Linked DNA regions of Macaca fascicularis. The protein of the gene in region 2 interacts with the protein of the main gene of each other region in a pairwise test. Links are inferred from orthologs where the notes say so. Each region holds a gene or a part of one and is shown on either strand. Other genes may lie near its edges.

Region 1 (3,656 bases), on a different chromosome or scaffold from region 2:
GTCAAAGCCGGAGTCCTGGGTACATGTGATTTGCACCACGATGTGAAGGCACACTCTTAACATGCAAGAGTCCATCTGAGAGAGCACTTTCTTTTCAAGCCTGAGATGTTTCATGTTACAAGGGTTTTGCCTGCTCCTGGGAGAACCAGTCAAGTTGCTGCTCCTTGAGAATTAACAGAACCACAGAAATGGAGTTTGAAGACGGTGAAGTTTCTAAGGGTGCAGCGAGAGGATCACGGAAGCCTTTCCATACTGCACCGATAATTTTGGCTTCCTTAATAAGGCCTCGGTCCTCCAGTGATTTAAAGAGGGTACCGAAACTGCAAGAAAAGTCATGTCCTCCTCCTCCTCTTTGTCTCCCCCTCCATAAAGAAATCAGCATTTCCTGCATTTGTATCAGCTTCTCTGTAAATGTTAAAGAACAAATTTGGCAGCCTATAATTTAGATGGTGACAGAGGTTTTGGCAGGTAAAACCCAGACTTCCAGGACTGGCTGGAAAGTAAACTTACTAATTATTTTAGTTAGATTGGCAGTCAAGGTGGAAAAATGAGAGCTAATTTATTGGCAAATACTCTGTTGCTCTCAGAAAATGTTGAAGGTCTTTTGGTGCTTTAGGATGTGTGCCAGTCCAGGGTGGCCCTGACCTTCTACAGCCGTTTCAGAGAGGATGTGCCTCAGGTGGCCTGAAGATACAGTAGCCTAAAACTTAGCACACAGTCACTGATTGAGAAGCTGAACAGGAATAAATTTTGAGGGCAGAGATCCTGAAGGACATGACAAGTATTTACAGGGTACTGTAAGATGGAGGCGGCGGCGGCGGCGGTGGTGGAGGCGGCGGCTGTGGCGGCGGGTACTGTGGTACCGGAGGCTGGCGGTACCAGTGTGGATTCCAAGTGATCATAACAGGTACATATAGTGATCTTCCTTGTCCGTCTCTTCCCACTGGGTACCAGGCGAATCCTACTGGGTAGGTCGGGTATGCGGCATATGTGGGGTACGTTTGGTATCCAGGTATTTGAGGTACGAATTCAGTGTACGTTGCCAGGTGCGCTTGGTCTTCTAAATTTGGAATAGATAGGCGAGGATACTGATTCTGGATAGTAAAATTGTTTGGAGCTCGGCAATCGTAAGAAACTTGCAGTTTCCACCCCCTCTTCACCTGGAGAACTTGGGCTCCATTAGGTGCGATCGTTGGAGTAATCAGCCCATCTTTCACATTTCTTGCCACAAAATCTCGAAGAGCTGCCATTTCAGGTTCAGACAGTGAGTACACATGTCCGCTGGGAATACTGTGTGCTCCAGGTATCATTTCTATGTGAGGGTCAACCAGGCGGTGATCTGGGTAGACGTGCTCATCTACTGGAGTGTACACATTCTGGACATAGTAATATCTCACTGGTTGGTAAACTCTGTATCCATCTACTGGATAATAGAGTGGCGGTTGTTGTGCTGGCGGTGGGAGCGATGGTGGTATTGGAGAATACATCCGGCAGTGGTAGCGGCAGTATTCAGAATCAAAGACAATAGATCGAGTGCTCCATGTGATGTTGGGATCATGTGTGCTCAGCCAGCGAACCCCTAGGACGACAGGGAAGAATGGAGACTGAGTCACATCAAATGACAGCACTTCACGGTGATCTCCCAGGTCAACTATCAGGTCGTGAGTTTCGTGGACAACTGGGCCCGATGCTATGGGGCGCCCATCAATTGCTTCCACAAGTATTGGCCAGTCCTTGATTCTTAGAGGAATTCCATTTTGAGCAACGTATTCGTGATCAATGAAGTTGCCAGAAGCACCAGAATCGATCATGGCTCGGACGAACAGGGTGTGTCTGCCCGGAAGATGAATCTGGAGCATCACTTGCAAGTGTGGAGATGAGGCGTCATCTTGTGGGGACCTTATTATTTCTGGCCCGGTCGCTGAAGGTCCCTCTACAGCGGGGCCGGGGAGTTTCCCGCCGGCGAAGACTTCGAGGCCTTGGCAGGACAGTTGTCAGCGTAGTGACCTCCTGTTCCACAGTAGAGGCACAGGTTCAGCTTTCTGCGTCTTTCTTTTTCCTCCTGGGTCAGGCGCATGCGGGCACCTCCCACCGGCTCGGTTGGATCTACCTGGTGGTGGCTTGCAACGTGAGGCAACACCAGCGCCCGGGGTGGTGAGCGTGGCTTGCGAGCTGCAGCAGCCCTGGCCAGCCTTCTCTCAATGTGAATGCACTGCCCAATCAGAGCAGACAGCGACTTGGCGACCTCGAGGTGGGAGAGCTCCTCCTGAATGTGGTCGCTGAGGCCCTCGTGGTACTGGTCAATCAGCGCAGGCTCGTTCCAATCCAGGTCCTGGGCAATCATCTGGAAAGCATTGGAATAGTCGATGACAGACCCCATGCCTTGGCGCAGGCGTCTGATCTTGCGTTTGGCAGCCTCTCGCCTCTGAGGGTCTTCAAAGACATGCTTCATTTCCATCATGAAAGCTGGGTAGTTGTGCATCAGGTAGTGGGAGCGCTCCAGCTTTGCTGAGGCCCAGCGGGCAGCACGGCCGGTCATCATGCTTGTCACGAAACAGACACGGACACGATCAACTGAGAAATCTCTGGTGCTCTTTTCCATGAAGATCTGGCACTGGGCCATGAAAGGAGCCAGCATGTCTGGGTTGCCATCGAACTTCTCTGGAAGGTCTTCTGGGCACTCTTCCTCTATTGGAGGGGGTGGGGCAGCAGCTGCTGCAGCACCGCGGAGCTCGATGTCATCATCATCATCCTCAGGGGTGGGTTCCACTTGCTCTCGAAGGGTGGTGTTCTCCTCTGTGAGCTTCTGCACCTGGTTCTGCAGGTTGCTGTTCTCCTCGGACTGCTTAATGACCTTCTCTCTTAGGTTGTTGATCTCTTCAGAGAGCTCATCCCTTCTTCGTTCGGTCATGTTGGGGACACACGCGCTCTTATGGCCGGTGTGCTTGGAGTTGTTGTTGTTGTTGTTGTTGGGGGGAGGGGGAGGGGGAGGAGGTGGGCAGTCGGGACCCAGGGTGACGGTTGGGGTGGGAGGAGACCTCCCAGCTGTAGCTTCACTTCTGTGGGGATGGAGGCCTGGATCCTGGCCCCCTCTTCCACTCCTTCTTTTTTTTGTTTTCAAAATCCGCTTATTTCTGTAAATAAAGATAAATGTATAAATCCAACTTATAGATTCAAAGCAGCAAAATGCAGACACAAAGGATTTAGTGTTTAAATTATCCCTTGCTCTATGCACTTACTTTAATAATTAGCGAACAAAGAAAACAAACTTTCAAGAGAAAAGTATCAATCAGTACCATAGATAACAAAAAGGAAACTACTTTTTGATGTTCAAATGACCTTGTCTTCCTCAAAGGCCACCTGTTCATTATGATTCAACAATACATCATCAACAGCATGCTTACCTTTATAAACTATAAAAGAATGTTGAAACCCTCTAAACAAGTAGTTTTGTATTGAAACAGAGGAAGAAACTTCAAGGCAAACATAGATACCAAATCAATTATGCAAATTAAAGCCAAAATAATAACTTTTCTTACTAAAGAAGCTAGGCCAAAAATAGTTAATACTACAACTAATAGAAGCTAATTAAAAAAGAGGGGAGTATTAAAATCACAATGCATGTATTCATCAGCCCTGTGGGTGGGAGGAGGGTA
Region 2 (3,041 bases):
CAATTTCAGAATCTTGCCATGTGCCTCAAAGTAATTAGCAAGTTAACTACATGGTACTAAAGGCATAATGGTAGCTAACATTCACTGGATGCTGATATGAACAAAGCACTGTTTGAGGTAACATACCTGTACCCCATTAAAACTTTTTAAGTAGCTACCATAATTTAACCCCACTTTACACATTAGGAAACTGGGGCCCAAGGTCACACAGCTGGTTAGTGGGGTAGAGCCGAGACTGGCACTTAGGTGCCTGAAGTCTGGCTGCAGAACCAAGGCTCTTAACCACTAGGCTATGAAATAGTAAATTTATTATTTCATTGTGCTTTTTTAAAGAGGTGAAAAGTGGTCAGCATTTTAGTCATTCTCCTGACAGTTGTAAGAATCAAAATGTGGGCAAGAGGGGCAGAGCATGGGAAAGACTGTAATCCAGAAGCCATATACCCAGTTATTTGCTGTGATTTAGAGTATAACTCTACCACACTTAAAAATGACAACACACAGCTTTCTGCTATATAATTAAAGTACGGAATGAAACAGGAAAATAACTTTGGATTTTATCAAACTTAGAGCTAAAGCAGACACAGTAAGATTTTTTTAATTTGCCAGAAATTCTTTTAATGAGAATTATAAAAGACCAAAAACATTTTTTTGCAAACTGCCTTTTTAAACAAATGATTTGCTTTTAATTACAAATACTGTGCATGACGATGCCTTCTTTTGCAAAACCAATAAATACAAGAACAAATTTTAAACATGTGATTTATCCAAGATATTTGAAAAAGGAAACAAAAGCCTGATTTGCAGTACTTATAAAAATCAATTTATTCTCTAACCTTTCAAAGATTAAGCTCAAAGGTGTGACTCATCCGTAGAAGAGAGAAAGAGAGAGACCATCTTACAGATGCTTTAAATAGCTTTTGATCATTTTTCCGATGTCACCTTTACTTTCTGGAACTCATAGCTTCACAAAGTAGCTGATTTTAAAATATTTCTAATGAACTGATTAATGGGGGAAAAGAAAATATTGAACACATGTTACAAACTTTTACCATAACAAGTATGCATATCAAAAGACACTAACTTTAAAATGGTACAAAAAAAGTGAAGAAAAACCTGAATTACAGAAAGGAAAGTCAAATTTATTTAATGAAAAACTAAAATTAATAAAAATTAGCAAATACACACACAAAAAAGCACACAGCAGCACTATGTATTGACTCACAAAGGGGAAAAGCAGTGGCCCATGACCACTCAAGATGGCTTGTCAGTTAAAGGAGAAAAACCCAAACACGCACACACCCACGCACGCACACACTCCCACGCAAAAACAAAACAAAATAACTATTTTTCAACAATACAATCAATCTACAACAAACACAAAACTCAGAATTATTTTACAATGCTTCCTTTCTTAATACAAAAGATGCCCATCTTGGGTGTATATACATATATTTTTTCAGTGGTTTACTGTTGACTTATTTTTAAATATATTAGTGTTACTACATGCAACTGTTTCCTGTATTTAACAGCCTTTCCTTTCATTTACCTTCATGTGTCTAGCTTCCACCTACCAAAAGAATTTTAGGTTGGCAGGCAGATGGGTGCCTTATTTTCTGTGAAACTGAAGTTTTAAACACTGGCCAGAAAATGTTTGATTGCCATTTCAACACATGGAAATAGTTACATTGATGCCTAAATTGCCATTTTCTGCAAAAAGCTGTGCAATGCTGGTGTCAAAGACTAGGCAGTCGCTATTCATAATGGCTGTTGCAATTCCTTCATGAATAGATCGAGGAGTCGCTTCCCAAGTCAATCGTCGCCTGTGACCATTTAGCTCAAGTCGGTAAGCAAAATTTTCAGCTTGCTTGCGTGTTCCTATCAGCTGTACAATTGCAAAGAACTGCTGGTGACCATCGTATTTTTCCTGTTTCTCCAAGACTAACATGAAGTGAAAGCCAAAACAGGACTGCATCATCACCCAGTCAACAGCACCAGGAAGATTAATGTCTGTAGCAAGGAAAACTATATCCTCTCCCTGTAGGGTTGTAATGGACTTATGCTGATGCATCAGATGGGGCATTACAGCATCCAAAGAGCCTTGCCATTTACAGGAAGCACCAGGGCACGGACAGGAATAAGGCCTAAACTCACAGAGCTCTTCGTGGTCTGCTTTTTCTGTGTGTGGCAGAGTTATTTCACATCCAGAAGAGGCATATTTACAGGGGAAAAGTACTGAATTAGCCACTTTCTCCATAGCCAAGTTGCGAATGGATCCCAAAGGGCCCCGGCAAGTTGGACAACATGTGAGCTTTGGGCGACAGTTGCTACAAACAAGATGGCCACTCTGACATTGAAGAATGGGTGGTAACACATAGTCAAAGCAGACTGGACACTCAAAAAGACTCGCCAAGTCATTGTTGGATGCAGTTGTGCCAGTCAGGGCAGGTACCCTCTGGGATGGTGGACACTTCGAGGTACCGGTAGGTAATGCTGTAGCAGTCTGACGGCTCATTTCTGAAATAAATACATAAGGAGGCAGGAGAAAAATAATTATAACCATGACTTATTTTACAAATAATGTTTACATGCCAGAAGTACTTAAAGTTTCATGCAAAATTTACTGAGCAAAAGAGAAAGAAAAATAAATAGAATTTAAAAAGTAACATACTAAAAAATAAAATTACACTGAATGTGCACTTTATTAGGATCTGTACACTGGATAAGCTCTCTTTTCAAAATATTCCGGAAAACATTTGGAACTCCCTTAATCGTCTTTGGATAGACTACATGGAATAATAAATGCTAAAATAGAAGATGGACCATAAACAACTAGAGAAACTATACAAGGAACTGAAGTTTAATCGAATCCGTTTTGCTAGGACTCTCTCCCTGAGACTCCCTTACTCTTATTTCTTTCTAATTTGGAGTCAGCTATTGATAGGTATAGGGAGTTACAGGTGAAGTCCTGGATAAAATCGGCACTCTGTATTCACACGGTCTGCATCCAAGGACTTCACCACAGCCATGGATTGAAAATATTC

The links.
Region 1: the proteins of SIAH1 (region 2) and PEG10 interact in binary tests that used the Homo sapiens proteins (3 or more experiments, as listed by UniProt). The link is inferred for Macaca fascicularis from reciprocal best matches to the Homo sapiens genes SIAH1 and PEG10.

Annotation. Positions count from the first base shown.
Region 1 is NC_088377.1:126,682,992-126,686,647, forward strand, and holds part of PEG10 (retrotransposon-derived protein PEG10), read right to left. Parts: intron 3,135-3,656; coding exon 1,934-3,134; coding exon of another isoform or gene 786-1,933; 3' UTR 1-785.
Region 2 is NC_088394.1:44,266,544-44,269,584, forward strand, and holds the end of SIAH1 (E3 ubiquitin-protein ligase SIAH1), read right to left. Parts: intron 2,515-3,041; coding exon 1,664-2,514; coding exon of another isoform or gene 1,561-1,663; 3' UTR 590-1,560; downstream 1-589. Other genes in the region: LONP2 (lon protease homolog 2, peroxisomal), read left to right, coding at 1,561-1,680. UniProt on the Homo sapiens protein: E3 ubiquitin-protein ligase that mediates ubiquitination and subsequent proteasomal degradation of target proteins.